4 linked regions of the Arabidopsis thaliana genome follow. The protein of the gene in region 1 purifies or fractionates together with the protein of each later gene. This does not show direct contact. Each region holds a gene or a part of one and is shown in the gene's direction. Other genes may lie near its edges. The genes, in order: AT5G35910, AT4G32175, AT2G07110 and AT1G60080.

The links.
Region 2: the proteins of AT5G35910 (region 1) and AT4G32175 fractionate together in Arabidopsis thaliana (co-fractionation; one large-scale study listed by BioGRID). This does not show direct contact.
Region 3: the proteins of AT5G35910 (region 1) and AT2G07110 fractionate together in Arabidopsis thaliana (co-fractionation; one large-scale study listed by BioGRID). This does not show direct contact.
Region 4: the proteins of AT5G35910 (region 1) and AT1G60080 fractionate together in Arabidopsis thaliana (co-fractionation; one large-scale study listed by BioGRID). This does not show direct contact.

The regions. Positions count from the first base shown.
Region 1 is NC_003076.8:14,029,482-14,037,211, reverse strand, and holds AT5G35910 (Polynucleotidyl transferase, ribonuclease H fold protein with HRDC domain-containing protein), read left to right. Parts: upstream 1-1,718; 5' UTR 1,719-1,806; coding exon 1,807-2,499; intron 2,500-2,896; coding exon 2,897-3,052; intron 3,053-3,377; coding exon 3,378-3,536; intron 3,537-3,617; coding exon 3,618-3,701; intron 3,702-4,201; coding exon 4,202-4,281; intron 4,282-4,362; coding exon 4,363-4,413; intron 4,414-4,495; coding exon 4,496-4,604; intron 4,605-5,231; coding exon 5,232-5,314; intron 5,315-5,488; coding exon 5,489-5,534; intron 5,535-5,628; coding exon 5,629-5,716; intron 5,717-5,817; coding exon 5,818-5,987; intron 5,988-6,298; coding exon 6,299-6,478; intron 6,479-6,558; coding exon 6,559-6,657; intron 6,658-6,726; coding exon 6,727-7,341; 3' UTR 7,342-7,638; downstream 7,639-7,730. UniProt on the Arabidopsis thaliana protein: Acts as an important epigenetic regulator through multiple silencing mechanisms. Involved in association with RRP6L1 in the silencing of the solo LTR locus. Controls levels of non-coding RNAs (ncRNAs) from the solo LTR locus.
Region 2 is NC_003075.7:15,533,588-15,538,140, forward strand, and holds AT4G32175 (PNAS-3-like protein), read left to right. Parts: upstream 1-1,846; 5' UTR 1,847-1,967; coding exon 1,968-2,018; intron 2,019-2,101; coding exon 2,102-2,176; intron 2,177-2,312; coding exon 2,313-2,399; intron 2,400-2,774; coding exon 2,775-2,831; intron 2,832-3,212; coding exon 3,213-3,305; intron 3,306-3,415; coding exon 3,416-3,488; intron 3,489-3,572; coding exon 3,573-3,648; intron 3,649-3,736; coding exon 3,737-3,950; 3' UTR 3,951-4,015; downstream 4,016-4,553. Other genes in the region: CYP96A2 (cytochrome P450, family 96, subfamily A, polypeptide 2), read left to right, coding at 185-1,705; PANK2 (pantothenate kinase 2), read right to left, coding at 4,137-4,229, 4,314-4,385, 4,485-4,553.
Region 3 is NC_003071.7:2,952,087-2,955,062, reverse strand, and holds AT2G07110 (exosome complex exonuclease RRP46-like protein), read left to right. Parts: upstream 1-1,854; coding exon 1,855-2,086; intron 2,087-2,149; coding exon 2,150-2,250; intron 2,251-2,333; coding exon 2,334-2,453; downstream 2,454-2,976. Other genes in the region: AT2G07120 (F-box associated ubiquitination effector family protein), read left to right, coding at 341-415, 472-1,458.
Region 4 is NC_003070.9:22,151,720-22,156,670, reverse strand, and holds AT1G60080 (3'-5'-exoribonuclease family protein), read left to right. Parts: upstream 1-2,027; 5' UTR 2,028-2,225; intron 2,226-2,318; 5' UTR 2,319-2,331; coding exon 2,332-2,491; intron 2,492-2,575; coding exon 2,576-2,625; intron 2,626-2,705; coding exon 2,706-2,775; intron 2,776-2,854; coding exon 2,855-2,960; intron 2,961-3,055; coding exon 3,056-3,122; intron 3,123-3,261; coding exon 3,262-3,337; intron 3,338-3,604; coding exon 3,605-3,912; intron 3,913-3,994; coding exon 3,995-4,066; 3' UTR 4,067-4,441; downstream 4,442-4,951. Other genes in the region: BGLU4 (beta glucosidase 4), read right to left, coding at 1-131, 211-298, 383-454, 532-607, 688-737, 822-885, 961-1,089.

The DNA.
Region 1 (7,730 bases):
GTTTGATATTCATGTTTGGATTTGAGTTTAAGTTCATGTTTCAGTTATCATGTTTGCGTTGAAGAAGTTGCAGGTCTTTCTCTTGACTTAAGTTCATTTTCTGTTTCACATTTGAGTTTAACTTGTTACAATTATGTTTCAGTCCTGACTTTTGTTTTAGTTTGGTTCTGTTTTTATGATCCTTTTGTTTTAGAGCTATCTCAGATTATCTTGCTTCAGCCAAGTAGGCTGCAGTTCTTCAGGTTCTTTTACCTGCAAATGTACAAACTGAAATCGATCAGATCGGAGCGAAACTGGATTCTTCTGTAGCTACTATCACTGAGAAATCGACTAGTAACTCCAATCACATAAGACATTTCCTTGATTCTGTGTAACAAACTCCTCCTAACAGTCTATCTGTTACAGAATCTTTGGATTTTGAAAAACAAATGTATAATAGTCATTTCTGTACTCGCAGGAGAGTGGCGCTTATCGTAGTTTCAATCGTCATGCTTGTGGTGACTTTTCTTGGTCTCGGTAATGTTTTCATCTTTGACTACATGTTTCTCAACTATCAACTAATGTATTGACCTTAGTGATCTTGTTATCATTTCTTCTCCTGCAGTTTCTTCGATTTGTACTGCAGACACATGTGTGGCAATGAACGAATGGGTTGAGAGACCATCAAGCAATACGGCTCTGGACGAGATATTGCCTTGTACAGACAATGCCACAGCTCAAAAATCCTTGATGCGTAGCAGAGAAATGCCTGCGGGCCGACCCGTATATCCGTTGGGCTTTGCGGACCGGACTTGGACACTGATAATTTTGTCCGCGGTCCTAAACGGACCAACCCGTCGCGGCCCGAAAAAAGAAAGCCCACTGCGGGGCGGGCTAGATGGGCGTGGGCCGGCCCGTCTGACACCTTTAGTTGACGAGATCAAAAACAAAATTGACTAGATCTGTTGTTTGATGACGCAAGCGGAAGGGCAAGTGGACTCCGTCGTGCACTAAAATTGGTAAGTACATTCCTAACTAAGAAATCTAGTTATTACCAACATATTCATTAGTTTTAGATCTTGTTCTAAAATTTCCGCCTAGCTCCGATTACTCACCACTTAATTGCACGCTAGGCTTATTCTATCCACCTCGATTAATGACTAATTTCTTCAAAAGATAACATCCGATTACTTTTCGCCTAAATTTGCATACCCAGATTATTTTTAGATTGGAAATATAAAACAATTTTTATTTTTATTATGCATACATTTAGATTGAGAGTTCCTGATTAAACTTTATGCCCATACCAAGCCCCCGACTAACACATAACGTTTTTTCGAACAAAGATTTTAGTTTTTGTTTTGTTTTTTTGTCGAGAGAACAAAGAGTTTAGATATATATCCATTTTCAAAACCTTTTATATAGTGTGAGTATGAATTTCGTCTAATTAGTTGAATTGTTTGAATTCGTCTAACTAGTTGAGTTTTTTGAATCCCCCAACCATTTGGAATTTGTCATTGCATAAATATTGAGATTTCATATATGCAATGAACAAAGATCTGATTTGCTAATTTTTGGTTTTGGAGTAGCTAATTTATCCCAAACGAGTAGGAAATATCCTTAAAAATCTTTAAAATAAATATTTATATATTTCGATATATCCTAGAATTAATTAAATACCGGATATTACGTTCTTGCCCTTAAGTGTATATACTAAAACAGCTCCACAGTAGTTTCTCATTGAATAATGTTCCTAAAACCCTAGCCAAGCCCAGAGATACCCTAAAATCACAATTCTCTGATTTGATCTTTTCTCCAGCGGAGATAATGAGCGACGGTAACATGGACGTCGACGAATCACCAGTCTCTTGGAAGGTAAAGTCTCTGGAGAAATTAATCGATGGTTCTTCTTTCTCTTCGACTCTCTCGAGACTCTCATCGTCTTCTCGCCTAATTCCAACGAGTAGAGATTTTCACTTTTACTACAATTTCGATGAGTTCAAACGCCCAATCGATGAGATAACTGGAACCTCGCAATCAACTCTTGCAACGATCGGTGATTCCGAGCAAGTTTGGGGGAAATCGATGAAGTTTCCTGGCGATGTTGATGACGTATATGCGGAGGATTGGTTATGTAACGTGAATGATGAATTGATTGAGAGATTTGATGTTTCTGTTGATGAGTTTCAGAGGATTAGGAAGAAAGAGAAGGAAATTGGTAGGTCTGTTGTTGCTGATGATGGAGATGATGGGTTTCAGATGGTTTATGGGAAGAAGAAGAAGCCTGTTGGTAATGTGGTTACTGGCTCGGCAGCGGTTAATGGTGGTGGTTCTGTGATTGATGTTAAGATGGCTGAGAGGGATAAGAATTCATCTGGTAAGGCTAAAGTTCCTTTTCATGTACCAACTATAAAGAAGCCTCAAGAGGAGTATAACATATTGGTGAACAATGCGAATCTACCGTTTGAGCATGTTTGGTTGGAGAGGAGCGAGGATGATCTGCGGGCTATGCATCCTTTGGTTAGTGTTTTGTGTTTTTTAGAGTTATCTGTTTAGTTGTTGTGGAATAATATGGTTTGAACTTTGGATAGAGTTAGACTTTATTTGAAAATTGGCTTGGTTTAGTGAGGATGCTACCAGTATAGTGTAGAATGAGAATTTCTATTTGAATGTAGTGAAGTTATTCTTAAGAACCTGCCCTGTACTGCCAATAGTGTTGTATTTTGGTTAGCATTATCTGTGTTCTTAACAGCCACATTAAGACTCTAGTGTCTGTAAGCTTACCGTATTGTATTGATGAAAAGGTGGCTTGGGAAAAGATCTGTTTTTAACTTTCTTAGGGTTATGTTTTGGCTGTCAGTATTTGGCCTTTTCTTGGCATTTTTCTCTCTTTTTATACGTTTATTATACTATGCAGGAGAAATTTTCAGTGCTTGACTTCGTTGACAAAGATGTAAACGAGATGGAACCTGTGAAGCCCCTTCCACTGGAACAGACTCCATTCAAGTTCGTCCAGGAAGTGAAAGATCTGAAAGAATTAGTTGCCAAACTGCGTAGTGTTGAAGAGTTTGCGGTAAATTTCTTTTCTGATTGTCTTTAGTAGTCCAATGTGCAGTCTGCAGTGAATTGTTTGATCATAATGTCTCTTGGTAGAAGTAGTAAGGAATTTGATGATCCTATCATTATTACATAATGGCTTGCTACTTGGTTATACACTTTTACAGAGTTTCTTTAGAATAATACTGAACTACCAATGTGATAGTTACTTCAGCAATTTGGTTTGGAGAATATAAGACTTCTCTCCTTGATTAGATAAGCCAAAAAAATATATTCAAGTTTGAGTTGCCAATGCTTATTTCTCCCCTTTCTCTTAAGTTTTTTGTTTTTGCTCTTTTTAGGTTGATCTGGAGCATAATCAGTATAGATCTTTTCAAGGATTGACATGCTTGATGCAAATTTCCACCAGAACAGAGGATTATATAGTTGATACATTTAAGCTTCGTATTCACATTGGGCCTTATCTAAGGGAGATATTCAAAGACCCTAAAAAGAAAAAGGTTTTTCCTGGGATACTTCAATTCCATTACAAAAGGTCTAAAATATATTTTCTGTGCTCTGAAATCTGTTTATGTAATTAGGTAATGCATGGAGCAGATCGAGATATTATCTGGCTTCAACGGGACTTCGGCATATATGTCTGCAATCTCTTTGACACAGGACAGGTTTGATTTTGTTTCAGCGATGATCTTCTATTTTTTTCTATGACATTTCCTGTAAAACATAGGAGATCCAGTATCCATAACATACACCTTTTGCTTTATGGAAGAAGAATGATGGCAACATATTGGCTTTTGAATTTAATATCCCGCTTTCTTCTTCTCTTTTCCTTTATGCCTGGAAAGAGAAAATTAGAAGTTTTCTTCCGATCAAAGTACACTGAACTAAGCTATTTTGAGAATGGTTTTAGCTAATTATACCATCAAAGGGATAACTGGCAACGATTTGCACAACTCTGGATTTTTCTTGTCCTTTTAGGAGATAATTTCAACCCCCTCCTGAATTTTAGTAACTTGTGGTATGTGTTGTAAGACACAAGTCAATTGGTTTAGTTGAATAGCTTTGGATCTCATACTGTGGCGACTAAGAAGCATACATGATACATGAAAGAAATTTTAATTATTTAGCTTTTTTCCCCTAAGTAGAAACAATTTGATTTTTTCAGGCCTCCAGGGTTCTAAATTTGGAGAGAAATAGCCTGGAGTTTCTTTTGCAGCATTTTTGTGGAGTGACTGCAAATAAAGAGTTAGTACTAGTCCTATCTGGATTTTGTATCACTCTCGTCTATCACTGGACTTCCAAATTCTGATTTGTTTATTGCTGTAGGTACCAAAATGCAGACTGGAGAATAAGACCCCTTCCAGAGGAAATGACAAGGTCAATCTTCTCTGTCCTTTGTCTTTTCACTACTGTTCTGGCCTAAGTTGACTTGAGCTCACATTTTTGGATTTCCCTGCAGATATGCAAGAGAAGATACCCACTACCTCTTATACATATATGATTTAATCAAACTAGAACTGCAGAGAATGGCAAAGGATGACGCGCATACTGACTCTCCTCTACTTGAGGTAGTCATCATTAAACTATGCTGAAAAGTATAATATTCCTCTGCATGTTGGTATTTGCATGATAGATGTATAATTGTCTTTGCTAGTGTCTGCTTGGTTCTTACTATCTTTCTGTTACTTTCCCACACTAGCAAATAGGAATTTGTGTAGCCTTAAAAAACTTGATGGCATAACATTGTTAGTGGAAAATGATATGTGGCCAATCACTTAGGTTAGGCTAAGTTTTCAGTATTCTTATTTTATTAGCTGCCTAACTTAAGTGATTCTCCACATTTGCAACATTCTTATGTTTTTTAAGAGCGATTTTGGGAGGTACTGGGTTTTCAGTGTTCTTATTATATACTAGCTGCCTCACCTAGGTGATTTTCTAGGTTTGCAACACTCTAATACTTTTTAAGAATAACTTTCAATGGCATCCGTCATGCATAAAATAGTTCTCTGTCTGAATTGACTTTTGTAAGCATAGTCAAAATAGAATTTCCTACCACATAATTTGGAATTCATGTGTCTAAAATTGGTAATTCAGCTCAACTGACTCTACTTGTCTAGATATTGTTACATCCAGTGGATATATAGCCCATGAATAATATGTTCTTTCTATTATTTTTGTCTTACTGTTTCTTACAGGTCTACAAGCGGAGTTACGATGTGTGCACACAACTATATGAGAAAGAGTTATTGACCGAGAATTCATATCTTCACGTATATGGGTTTGTTGCTTTTTCTTGAGAGGGTCTACATACTTATTTTATTTTGTTTCAGCAGACAAGGTGTATGCGTTTGTTGATTAAATCTGTTAATCAAATTGTTGTTTTAATAGCTGGCTTCTCTTGAGCTAAGTTACATAAACCAGTATTATATTTCTCATTCTGGCATTTTGTTAGGCTTCAAGCAGCGGGCTTTAATGCAGCTCAACTTGCCATTGTTGCGGTATGATGTTTTCGTGTGATGTGAAGAATGATGCATACTTACACTGCTTTTTCCTATACTATTTAAAGCTAACTTAAAATTTACTTTCTCTTAGGGGCTTTGTGAATGGAGGGATTTCATTGCACGTGCGGAGGATGAGAGCACTGGTTATGTATTGCCAAACAAAGTTCTCCTTGAAATAGGTATATAGAGCTGAGAGTTCAATTTTACCATCTGGCAGAGAGTGGATTTGTTTTGGCAATTCCTAAGTTCCTAACGTAATCTAATGTTGCTATCCTAATAGCCAAGGAGATGCCTGATAGTGTTGGAAAATTGCGTCGGATGTTGAAGTCAAAGCATCCTTATATCGAGCGTAATGTTGATTCGGTGGTCAGTGTCATCAGGCAATCAATGCAACATTATGCAGCATTTGAGTCTGCTGCTCTATCTTTAAAAGATGTGTCTCCTGGAAATGTGAGATATCTCTATTGATTTAGTTTCTATTCCCTTTTTGTATAATTATTATTGTAAGCTTTCGGTTGAGGTGTATAAGCTAGTTGAAAGCCGATTAGGGTATTAAAAACCCTCTAAAACTCAACCTGCAAAGAAAACAAGAGCCTAGAGTTGGAATAATTTACTGTCAAAGACTAATTATGAATCCAAATTTCATATTTCTGAAACCTCACCTTATGGCTCGAATTCAGAGTGCATGTGATACTTATTGGTTTCAACTGTTTTCCTGTATTCTCCATGTCTGTTTAAAATGTGGCCTTCTTATATTGTAGGTAATGGATAAGAATATTGAACCTATAAGTGAGAAGAAAGACCTGCACACAGGAGATGTGGCTTCTCCAAGTCTGAAGGAAAATTCTTCGCAGCTTGAGAGTACCAGGGACCTAATTATGGGTGCAGCAAATACTAATGAAGGGAGAGGTTTAGGATCCGGCTTGTTTGGTTCTGCTAAGGTGACACCTAGTTGTTTCTTTTGGTTGGTGCTCTTTAGTATCCATGCCGGGCTCTCAAAGACATATCTGTTATTTATTAGGTTTCTGCGGCTGTTCGGATCTCTAAGAAACCAAGCAGTGGTTTAGGAGCTTTGCTGGGAAATGCAGCCTCCAAGAAGAAATCTCGAACTGATGAGAAGGTGAGTTTATATATGTGAAAACTCTATAGTTGGTTTTGGTTGCAGAATGATTGATAAAAATGTTTTCAGGTGAAGGAAGATGTGAAGCTCGAACAGATAAGATCATCTGTAAACCTGTCATTCCATTCGTTTACAGAGAAAGTTCCTGACTCAAAGTCAACTTCTGAAACATCTCCGAAAGTTTATGGGAAGCCTGAAGAGATGTCCAGTACTATGCCAGCCTCTGTTTCCAAGGAAGATGGTGTGAAAGAGTTGAAAGATGATTCAGAAGAAGCCTCAGAGATCGTTGGTACTTCTGGTAGAGTTTCAGAGTCCAAAGTGTCTAGCTCCGAGATGGGCGATATTATACTACTAGAAAATGGTGATGAGAAAAAAGTTGACGCTGAAGATGAACCAATGTCTCTCTCGGAGTTGTCCACAAACTTTCAGAAGTGCTTTAAATCCATGAATAAGAGCAAGAAGGCCCAAAAGCAGACCGAGTTTTTAAACATAGAGCCTTTTGATTATGAAGCTGCAAGGAAAGAGGTGAAATTTGGGGAAGGACACAAGGGAAGACAAGGAAAGAGAGAAGCTGCAGCAGGTCAGAAGAAGGGGTCTACACAGGAGCAGTCAGAGTTTGGTCAAGGAAAACGGCGTCAAGCTTTTCCGGCATCCGGGAACCGAAGTATGTCCTTTAAAAATTGATCTTCTGGCAGTCAATATTGATTGATGGTTCTGTTTAAGATCATTTATTTGTTTTGGTTGTGGGCTATGGTGAATTTTATGTTTTGATCGTTTTCATTTTATCAACTTCATAACTCAAACTTTGATGGGACTTAGGGATACAAACTCTTAGCTCAAACCATCAAATCTGATTCATAGTTAAGATTATGAACCAGTCTCCTTGTGCTTTTATATATATATCTAGTTTAGTGTCTGGCTTGAAGTAGTAAAGTTCTTGTTCCAGTCAATTGTTTTACTCAACTTTCATTCTCAAGTTTTATCTTTCGAAAACTGAAGCTAATCTCTCATCTGATTGATCAAATAATCTATATGTTTTAAATGATCTTCAAATGTAATATGGTTATAGACTA
Region 2 (4,553 bases), on another chromosome or scaffold:
CAATTTAATACAAGTTTCTAATTTGATGATATACATGCATTAAACGTGCTTTGCAGTTTGTGCATATAACGAAATTTAGTGTGTATTTTAAAAAGCATCTCCTTACTTGTGCCCTGAAGTGTATGCTTATAAATTTAGTTCTCATTGTGTCAGCAAACTGTGTGTTATCAATTGCCTTACTCCAATGGCTTCAATAAGCTTACTTCAAGTTTCCGTAGCTATCCTTTGCTTTCTCATCCTTCATTACTTTCTCTTCAAGAAACCTCATGGCCGGTACCCTAGGAACTGGCCGGTTCTCCGGATGCTACCCGCTATGCTCAAGGCGCTTCACCGAATCTACGACTACAGCGTGAAGATTCTCGAAACCTCTGACTTGACCTTTCCATTCAAAGGACCGCGGTTCACAGGAATGGATATGTTGCTCACGGTTGATCCAGCTAACATTCATCATATAATGAGCTCAAATTTCTCAAACTACATCAAAGGACCGGAGTTCCAAGATGTTTTTGATGTGTTAGGAGACAGTTTCATCACCACGGACTCGGAGCTATGGAAGAATATGAGGAAATCTTATCAAGCCATGCTCCATAGTCAAGAGTTTCAAAGGTTTTCAATGAGTACCATGACAAGTAAACTCAAGTACGGTCTTGTTCCCCTTCTTAATCATTTTGCTGAGGAAGGAACAACTCTTGACTTGCAAAGCGTCTTCGGGAGGTTCACTTTCGATACAATTTTCATCCTTGTAACTGGTTCTGATCCTAGATCTCTCTCCATTGAAATGCCTGAAGACGAATTTGCTAAAGCTCTCGACGATGTTGGAGAAGGGATTCTTTATAGGCATTTTAAACCAAGGTTCTTGTGGAAGCTGCAAAACTGGATAGGATTCGGACAAGAGAAGAAGCTCACTGAAGCTAATGCAACTTTTGACCGCGTGTGTGCCAAATACATATCAGCCAAGAGAGAAGAGATTAAAAGATCACAAGGGACTTCCAATGGAGGAAGTCAGGATCTTTTAACTTCCTTCATAAAGCTAGACACGACCAAGTACAAGCTCTTGAATCCGAGTGACGATAAGTTCCTTAGAGACAACATCTTAGCTTTCATTCTAGCGGGAAGAGACACAACAGCCACCGCTCTCTCTTGGTTCTTCTGGCTTCTCTCTGAAAATCCACATGTGGTAGCCAAGATTCATCAAGAGATCAACATCAACACTGATCTATCAAGAACAGGAAATAGCCAAGAGAATGTAGACAAGTTGGTGTATTTACATGGTGCGTTGTGTGAAGCAATGAGACTCTACCCACCAGTTTCCTTCGGACGCAAGTCTCCAATCAAATCAGATGTGCTTCCAAGTGGCCATAAAGTTGATGCAAACTCTAAGATTATTATCTGTCTTTATGCATTGGGGAGGATGCGAGCGGTTTGGGGAGAAGATGCATCGCAGTTCAAGCCAGAGAGATGGATTTCGGAGAATGGAGGCATAAAACATGAGCCTTCCTTCAAGTTTTTGTCGTTTAATGCCGGTCCAAGAACTTGTCTAGGTAAACATCTAGCTATGACTCAAATGAAGATAGTGGCAGTGGAGATATTACGAAACTACGACATTAAGGTTCTCCAAGGACAGAAGATTGTGCCAGCTCTTGGTTTTATATTGTCAATGAAACATGGTCTTCAAATCACTGTTACTAAGAGATGTTCTGCTTGAAATTATTCATGTATTAAATAAAAAAATCATTTTGGTTTGGTTTTGATTTGGTTCTTAGTTTTTTTTTTTAGTTTTACGGTTTAAGTAAACCGAAATCCTAATATTGACTGGTTCGGTATAGTTTTGGTTCAAAATTTGCGTGCAAAAAAAAGAAGAGACTGTGCAGTGTTGTTCCTTTCTGGGTTCTCATCGTCGTCAAGGAACAAGCTTTAACAGAGTTTAACATATATTAGGGTTCTTATCTCCAAAACCCACCTCACTCATGGCTGCCAAAGTTTCTGTCTCTCCCACAAGCCTCTTAAATCAGATTGTGGTCCGTATATCTCTAAAAAGTTGGCTTTTTTATGATTTCGATTCGATTTGGTTACAATGAAGCATGGTGTTTTCAATTTTTAGGTTCCAGGTGATGTTGTTCTTGATTTGTCAAACATGAATAACCAAACAATCAAGCTCGGAAGTGGCCTTCTTCAGGTTTCATCTTCTTCTCTTTCTTATGTGTTGTTTGAATCCTAACAATTATTCCAGTGGGCACTTGATTTGTGATATACAATTGCAACTAAAAAGGAATTGTAGATTGACATGTGTTTGTTTTTTTGGCTTATTTTAGGATAATGATGCTATCTCTGCCATGAGAGCTGGCAAATTAAGTTACTCCAAGCCTAATAAGTATTGGCTCGAAAGTTCTCATAAACGGGTGAGCTCAGTGGTCTTACTAATCTTCCCTTTCTGGTTGCTTCTCTATTGAGCTTCTTGTGGATTATAACTGTGTCATCTGCTCGGATACTAGGTCCACTTGATTAATCATGAGTAGAAAAGTAACAAATAACCTGGCACAATTGCATCATGAAGAATTGAAGATTTGCCTTTTGTAGCATTTTGACAATTTGATGCTTTTGTGGATCATTCTTGCTAGTTTTCTCCCTAGTTATTTGATCATATACATCTGGCTTGATAAGACAATTTACCATTTTTGGTTTTCAAAACTCTAGTAGAATATTGTTTTGTTAATTATCTATGTAAGTCTCGTTCTCTTTGTTGCTGACTCTGTTATTATGTTTTTTTTTTGCAGTATATACCTCGCCCTGATGATCATGTTCTTGGAATCGTGGTCGATTCTAGGGCAGATGTAAGTCCTTTGAAATCATTGCTTGTATAGATTCTTGTGTTGTTTTTGGATCCCTCTCAGACTGGTCATCTCTGAAAGCATTTTATTATACTTTAGTTGTCAAATACGATACAAATATATGTTTGTCAGTTTCCGCGACTTCAGTCCTCATTTCTCTGAGCCAATAAAGGTGAACTTGTTTGTTGATGGTCTTGGATCAGTAAATAAATAGGTGGGAGTATTGAAGTTATGGTCTAAAATCAGAAGAAAACTGATACCATTATTGGACAAACAAATGTTAATTGACTTTTAAATTATCAGCTGCAGTTAAGCTTTCTTGCATGAACTAACATCGCCTTAGTAAGTACTGAATTGTTTCTTTTACTCATCATGTCATTGCAGAATTTTTGGGTGGACATTAAAGGACCTCAATTAGCACTTTTGCCAGTTCTTGCATTCGAAGGAGGAACACGAAGAAATATTCCCAAGTTTGAGGCATGTACATTCTGATGACTCAGGAAGCTCTCTTGAATTCTCATTTGGGATATGACATTCTCTATGAATTGATTGTTTCTGGAATGTTCAAATTTTTGTGTACTAAACAGGTAGGCACTCTGCTTTATCTCCGGGTTGTCAAGACAAACATAGGAATGAATCCGGAGCTGTCTTGTACCGAGGGTAAGTTAAAAGCTTTGGAGGCTAAAACAGTGCTGCTTCTCTTAATCCCTTTTAAACTAATTGTCTCTTGTTTCTATGTATTAGCTAGTGGGAAAGCTGCATTATTTGGACCCTTGAGAGATGGTTTCATGTTTGAAACTTCAACTGGTCTTTCAAGAATGTGAGATATACTTCCTCATAAAAAATGTCTCCTTATACTTTATCTATCTTCTTTCGCCATTACAACTTTACTTTCTCATCTCTTATAGGCTGTTGAATTCACCAACGCGCCCGGTCATTGAGGCTCTTGGAAAGAAACTCTCGTTCGAGATAGCTGTGGGCTTAAATGGCAGAGTTTGGGTAAATGCGACAGCTCCACGTATAGTCATTATCGTGGCCAATGCAATAATGAACTCGGAATCTCTAAGTGGGACTCAGCAGAGAATCATGGTTGAGAAATTGCTCGCGATAATTTCAGACTAAACGTTATTGTTCTTGAAATGTAACTGAACCCTCATGATGCTCTTTATAGCAAGTGATTTTGATTCATTCAAATACAATTTTATACAGTAAAAGTGTAGTCTAAATAAAAATACATATGCCACATGACGAATGCTTAATCTGTATACAACAGTAGTCTAAAGGTTGAAGAAATGATACATAACATTGTTAAAGCGAGGGAGGCTCGTATCTGCATACACAATCATATATGTTTCCTTTTATCAACTTCTCAGCCAATCTCTGATTTTTAACCATTGCTAGCTGCCAAAAAGGAAGAGAAGGTTTCAGCCAAAAGTTTCAATAACAGTTCTAGAGCTGAAATTTTCTGTCAAGTGAGGTTTAAACCTTGAGAGCCTCGCATTGGAATTGAGCGTTGAAGTTGGTGTGAAGTGCTCTTCCCATACCTTCCAAGACAACCTGCAATATTGTTAAACATCAAATAAAGAACAAAGCTTCTCTTTTTTGATGTGTTTGAAGTTTATGTCAGGTAGAAAACAGAGAAGGTTTTGTAGATACAAGATCAGCGTCTTTGGCAGCGGCTGCAAGCTCAGAGCTGACTTGTCTGAGGTCGATACAAGGACTTCC
Region 3 (2,976 bases), on another chromosome or scaffold:
TATGCAGTTCTTATTGAAAGATATATTTCTTTCTTTTTTATAAACAATTTAAAGAATAATTGTTTTTTTATTTATTCCTCAAATCTATGTTTTTAACTTCTTATCCTTGAGAAATAATTATTCAGTAATTTTATTATTGGAAGATAAATCTCTTTCCTAAATAATTATTAAGAATTATTTGACATTTACTTTTAAGAATTATTTAATATTATCCCCAAAAAAGGGTGTTATTTCATTTTCGTAACAGATAAAAATATTCCTTTTCTTATTTATTTGAGTCGTACACGCGGTGGTATATATATAGATTCTCCTCTAAAGCCACCGAAGTCGGAGAAAGGTAATGGCGTCGGGGAAGCTTCCGTGGGAGTTGGAGGAAGAGATACTGTGTCGGCTTCCACCTGGATCCCTTGTTCGGGTAAGATCCGTATGTAAACACTGAACGATCTTCTCAACGACAAATGGTTCATCAAGAAAAGCTTGGGTTGTGCACGTCCCCAATTTATCATCCTGCCCGAATCCAAGATTTATTCGATAGGAACCATCGGCCTGGACGACTTTGATCCGAAGATAGAGGTGCGTGAGCTAGCCTGTCAATTTCATTTTAAGGCTGAGAAGTGGGCATTTACCAGGATCACGGCTTGCGATGGATTATTGTTTCGTGACTTTTGGAACCAAGGGGTTACCATTTGGAATCCATGGTTAAGACAGGTTGGGTGGATCGAGTATAAGGAGGACAGAGATTTCCGTTTTTGCGGTGTAGGATACGATGCTTGTAAACCCGAAAAGGATTACAAGATCTTTGGGTATTTTAGTCGTTTCTATGACACTACACTGAAAATCGGCCACAGATTTGCGATCTTTGAATGTGCGTCTCAAGCGTTTAAGTTCATTGATTCCCCGGAATGGCCAATGCTGGCAGGTCGAGGTGAATATGTGTCCTTGAATGGAAATTTGTATTGGACTGCTTACAATGAAGATACTCGTGAGCATTTTCTCGGAAGCTTTGATTTCTCCACAGAAATATCCATGCACTTTTGTCTCCTTCCTTGTGGGAAGCATGTTTCTGGCTTACGAGATAAACTTGTCCTCACTGTATTTAAGGGCGATCAGTTTGCATTGTTAAAGCAATCTCGTATATCAAGTAATACAGAGATTTGGGTAACAAATGACATGATTAACTCTAGTAATAATGTGGTGTGGTTAAACTTGATGACACTGTCAATACCTGATTTTCCCTCGCTATTCCATCAGCTTTCTGATATTAGTTACTTCATCCATGACATGACCCTTATCCTGTGCTGTGACGACAATCAAACTGGAGTGGGTTGCATCTTTATTGCGAGGGGAGACTTCTGCAAGAAGATTCAAATAGATTCTGTCTCTCTTGGGTTTTCTCAATGTGTCCATCTTCCAAGTTTGACCTCGGTTCCTTTGGAATTCAGATCACTGCAAGTTTAGAATTTCGATTTTTCGAGTACAAACAGTCTTTGAAATGTGATTCTTTTTTCATGTCTTTTATATTATACTAGATAAATACCCACGTGTAGCGTGGGTTTGTTTTGAAAATTGTGAAGCGTGAGTTTGTTTTGAAAATTGTGAAAAACAATTATTGATTGTTTTTGCTAATTTATGTTTATTTTTTATTCGTTATTATGTAGTTAATTAATAAAACTAAAACTATCTTATGTAGTTACAATTTTTAAGATTATATCTTTTTTTTTTACTTGAAATATAACTCGTGAAAGACTTACTTGTCAGCTGAAACCTCTTGCTTATTCGCGTAATATCCTTCATCGTCCTCATGGCTCTCCTAGTTGGTCAGAAGGTACTTTATCAGCTTTCTCAATATCTATTATGGGTACAAAGTTGTTTTTATCCTTTTTGAATGGGATACATGGAACTCTCTCGTTTATATTTTCAGAGGATACAAAAGTTCTATCTGCGCAATACGGACCTAAAGCAAGAACGAAGAAGAACGAAAATGCTGAGAAGGCTTGTTTGAAGTCATATGGAAGCCTTAAACCGGATAGATTGGTAATCGTAAATGCGTTTAGTTTTTCAGAAAGAGGCTTGTTTTGTCGCTTGAGTATGTAGTACAGGTGATTCTTGGTTTTTAGATGTGAATTTCTTTTGCTTTGAATATTGATAGGAAAAGTTGAAAAAGAGTATGAAACGATACTGAAAAGGACGCTACAGAGTATTTGTGTTTTGAGAGTTGTTCCAAATACCACCACCTCAGTGATTATTCAGGTGAGTAACTATTCAATGTTGTGTATATATATATTGTCAACTTGAGTTGTATCTGATGTTTTCATTTTGTAATTTCTGTGTAGGTTGTACATGATGGTGGTTCTGTATCGTTTTTATGTTCCTTTCACCTTGGTAAACATTTACTAATGCTGTCTGAAACACATATAATCCGGTATAAACAATGTCTGTTTGAGTATTTATAGAGTTTATAGTAGTGAAAGTTTGTAATCCCATAAACTGAGAGTGTGAATATGTTTTTGTGTAACTTCTACCGTGGCCTCCATTCTGGCAGTTAGAAGGTATTAAACGTTTGTTCTAAAGAAATATGATGTACAAAAAGGGAGACTATGAAGGATAGAATTTACGAAGTCGAGAAATTTACCTTGAGATTCTTCTTCTTTCATATTGAACGATCTAGCAGAATAAAAAAAAAAATACAAAACAGTCATACAAAACAGTCTTTCAAATTACTTGTTTTCTTAGCATAAATCTCGAATAGCTTAGATATATTTAATTTGCATATTTATTTAGTTTTTTCATAATAATCATCTAATTTTTAGGCAAGGAATATGTGTATCATGTTTGGATTTTATTTTTTTCTTCAAGATTAGTTTAAAAATTAAATTAGTTTTAAATATTAACTGTTAATTAAAATAGTTAAACTAATGATTTTAGAAATGAGAATTATTTAAAATTTTTAAATGAAAAACTCAAACTTTAAGAAAT
Region 4 (4,951 bases), on another chromosome or scaffold:
GACCAGGCGGTGTATCCCCATCGTTGTAACCTCCTATAGAGAATATATTAGCCTCGTTGATCGTGGTCCATAGTTTGACATGGTTCCCAAACTCTCTGAAGCAAACATCTGCATAAGTAGTAAAGTCTTTGCTGCAATGGCAAATAACATCAACTTTTGTTATTTTATCTTAAACTACAAAATCTGTAAGAGAAAATAAGTAACGCCTACATCATTCTGTGGTTGAGCCATCCTCCATATTCATCCTCCAGAGACTGAGGATGATCATAGTGGTAGAGTGTAACATGTGGTTCAATTCCTGTAGTAAGTCTACTTAAACTCTAGTTAATACGAACTAAACCTAACTCTTGAGTCCTACCGTGGATATGAAGATAGGTCTTACCGTGGCTTACTAACTCTTGGATGAGGTTCTTGTAGAACTGTAGACCCTTTTGGTTAACAGGCCCTCTTCCATCTAATCAGATAATAAATTACGAACTGATCATAAATTTGATCCCTTCACTGAGCTATAACATGTTTAAGAAAACTTACTAGGTATTAGCCTAGACCAAGAGATGGAGAATCTGAAAGCATCTAAGTTAGTGTCCACCATCAACTTCACATCATCCTGTATAAATTCATAATGAAACTCAGGCTTGATGAATAAAACCTCATGATGTAGTCAGAGAAACAGAGAAGCTAAAGAACCTTGTACTTGTGATACCCATCACATGCTATATCTCCGTTACCTTGGTCACCTGCAATGTTAGAAACAAGAATCAAAGCACAAGAGTGACAAACTCTAATACTAATAATAGTTTGTGTTAAAATGAAAAGCTTACGAGAGTGACAAAGAGTGTCCCACAGGCTAGGTTTCCTTCCGTCTTCTGCAGCAGCTCCTTCCCACTAGTAGAGACCAAACATTTGGTTCAGTTTTGTTCAAAAGTTAAGAAAAAAGAAGCTCATAAATTGGTTCCAAACCTGATAAGCAGAAGTGCCGGCTCCAAAGACGAATCCCTCAGGGTAGTCAGATCTGCTGAAAACGTCGCTGCATTTCCCGGAGAAAGCAAAAGCAAGAAAAATGGCAAACAGAGCCAAAATCTGTTCCATTTCTCACACACACACACACTCTTTTCTTCGTTCCATGTTAGAATAAGTAAGTCCAGTAGCCATTTGCGTACCCGCTAGATATAGTTGTGACGTAGACATTAATGATGATGCAATTTAGATAAGAAACATATTGGGAAGTGTGTTGAAATGAATTATGGTCTTTATTTACTATGATAAGAAACAGATTACGCTGGATCGGAGCCCAGGTCTGACCAACCCAAATAACGAAAGAAACTAGGGGACCGGAAAACCATGCGGCTATGCAGCCCCAGCCCCACATATATGAGGGCTTTTGGGCCAAAAAAATATTTTTGGACTTTTTGTTACATTTCAATTTTTTTTGGGTATTCCTAAATTTTTGTTAATAGTATGGACTATGATATAATAACTTTTGAGGTATTAAAGTAAAAATATTTGGTCCTCTTATAAAGAAAAAAATATTTTATTTCATAAAACTTAATAATTATTACAAAGCATAAAATATTAAACATACATTATCTTAAAATTTTAAAATAGATGTGAAAAAAACGGAATAACGATAAGTTTTTCTGTTGATTGTTGCAAATTTCAATATACGAATACTTATAACGATGTTTTGAATTGAAATTTTCTACGAATACTTATAACGATATATATAGTAAAAGAGAAATTTCTTAACTTATAATTAAACACCATTAAGTAATGTATGGAGGATTAACAAAATTGGATATAAAACAAGAATGTATAATGTTCATTTTGACGCCATTTCTTCTTCTTCATATTTTACAATTTACACTAAACATTTTCCCAAATTCAGCTCATAATCAAGTGCGCCTCATATTTTCGCCAAATTCATCTAATTGAAAACCCAAATTTCAATATACTCATGTCTTGTGAAGCAAACAAATCTCTTATTTCGCATTTCTTTGGGCTTCGCAACATTATTGGGCTTTGTTTGGGGCCCATTTAGAATGAAGAAGTACTTTAGTTAAAAACTCAGATAAACCTAGCCGTCGTCACCGTCACCGTCTCCGTCGAAATCCCCATTACTTACGACACCGCGAGCTCTCAATCTTCTTCTTACACTCTATTGCTTGTGTTTCCTCTTCACTACAACAGTTTCGTGTACCAAAGGCAGTTCTTTCTTTTGTCCCAAGGTAAGCTTTGTGATTCCTTGAGACTGTGTTGATGAAGCACAGACTCAGAGACTTTTGGTTTATGATTCTCTTTATCTTTGTGACATGAAGCAGAGCTAAAGAAAACATGGGAATACCAGATGCAGCTCAAGACTTGTCGACAGAGATGGAAGTTGATGCTTTTAGAAGAATCTTCCCTCTTCGTTTCTTTGAGCGTCATCTCTCTGAATCTCTTCGTCCTGATGGAAGACAACTTGGAAAAGCTAGAGACACCATTGTTAATCTTGGTATAAACAATGAAGATTGATTCTTTTTAGTTTTTATCAAATTAAAAATGTCAACTTTATAGTGGTTTCTTGTGTTTGTTGTAGGACTTGTTTCAACTGCTGATGGGTCTGCTCTTGCTAAGATTGGTTCCACTGTAAGAACCCGCCTTAGTCGTTTCGATAGTATTCACATGATCAGCAATGTTTTGCTTACATAGTTGTTTCGTGTTTATAGACTATGCTTGCTGCTATTAGAATGGAAGTTATGACTCCTTCTACGGACTCTCCAGACGAAGGATGCATAGGTTGTTATCTCGTTGTCTTGTTCTCTATGTGGTTTGTTGTTCTTCTTTGGTGATTCATTTTGTGATTCCTTTTTGGTAGCTATTGAGTTCCATATGCCTCCAATTTGTTCTCCGACTGTTCGTCCTGGAAGACCAGCCGAAGCTGCTCCCGTTATTTCAAAGCGTTTGTCTGATACTATTTTAAGGTGTGTTTTGGTTTGATCTTTCTCTTTATATTTTCTCTGTCTCATTGAGCATCAAATACAATGTTCCTTCTAAAAGTGTTTCTTTTTTGTTCTAGTTCTGGTATGATTGATCTTAAAGAACTGTGTCTAGTTAGTGGAAAAGCTGCTTGGATGGGTTATCTGGTGAGTACTCGTTGGTCTTATATCGGTGCTTGTCCGTCAGTTGATTCACATCTATTCTTCTAGGGATCTTTCTCTTTGATATTTAACTGAGTTCTCTAGCATATATATGAACATTGTTGCTCTCTGAAATTTCTCATAGGACATATATTGCCTGGATGCTGATGGTGCTCTCTTTGATGCTGCTCTGCTTGCTGCTGTCGCAGCCTTCTCCAATCGTAAGTTCTTCTCTGTTCTCATCCTTTAGTTGGTTTCACAGCTCCTTTAGAGAACCTTTGAATAAAGCTGATTCTCAAGTTTATCAAATCCATTTCGAATATGAGTAAAAAGAGCAAGCCTTAGAGAACACTTAAATCTTGCTGAGTGAGTCATACCTGAGTAATATTCTTCCCTGCACAATAGCGGTTTGTTCAGAAGTTGTGTGATTGGTGTTCCGAGACAGAAGAATTTTTCCTCTGATGCATAAAATATCTTTTATATTGCAGTGCAAATTCCAATTGTTGCTCTGAATGACAATGGAAGAATAGTTGCCGTCACTGGAGAAAAAGATCAAGACAATGCTTTGATCACCGAGAAAGAAGCAGTGAACAAGGAGAAGAGAAAACTTACGCTTAAGAACATTCCTTTCTCTTTAACTTGCATACTTCACAAGAACTACATCTTAGCAGATCCAACAACCGAAGAAGAATCGATCATGGACACTCTTGTGACTGTTGTTTTGGATTCCTCGGATCAAATGGTTTCTTTCTACAAATCAGGAGGAGCTGCTCTCGCCTATTCATCAGCCATCAAGGTGAGAGTTTTAGCTTTCTCTTAGGTTAATCCACCACTTGATTTACACCGTTTTTTGTTTCTTATAAAGTTGCTATGCGCAGAGCTGTGTCGAGTTAGCAAGGAAGAGAGCAAAGGAGCTTAAGCAGATATTGGGAGAGATGGATATCGACTAATTTATCAGATGGAACGATTCCATAACATTGTTGAAATTTTGTGTTACATATTTTAATCAGATCACCAAGTTACCCATTTAGAGGCAAAGGAAGAAGCTCTTCACCATTTTTGTTCGATTGTGTTACGGTTTTGTTTGTCATATAACGACTTTAATTTAGTGCTAGTGTAAGTGTGAGATTATATTATCTCCATTTCAAACGAACCGAAATGTGCGTAAGCTGATTAATTTTACAAATGTTCAAATCAAAAGCAATTAACAAGTTTGTTTGTTGACCACCATCGCAAGTTTGTTTTTGATTAGGCTTTTCTGAATTTTTTTATGTTATAATGTAAGGGTATGTTAAAATATTATTCCATTTAAAAGAGGCATTGTAACAAGAACCATTCTGAATCTGTGAAAGAAATATTCCATACTAGACGAGGAAAGTCCTCGAGAGACTAATTAAATACTAAATAACATAAAATCATTCTGAATCTGTGGAAGAATCATATGCTAAGCGAGGAACTTCCTCCAAAGACATGAGACTCTCAGTGTGATTATGATAATAGCGGACCTCTCTTACATTTTTATGATTAAGCTTCCAGAATTCTTCGTCACCAATTCCTTCATATAATCATATTTGACCCTCCTTACTAGGGTTCTTTTTGGATCATAATATAAGACATAAATTGCTTCAGATGTTGTTGCAGCTGTATAAATAAACTCACCAGTGGATCATGAGTAATACCTCTCAGCCCCCAAGAAACTTTCCAGATCGGGTCACGTTGAGGAAATTTTCTAAGTGACCGTTCTTGTTTCTCTTCATCCTCCAAAACCCAAAATCATTTACCAGAGACGTCGTCAGAGCAAACCCATGCAAATTTTCCTTCGTAGTTGAGGAAAA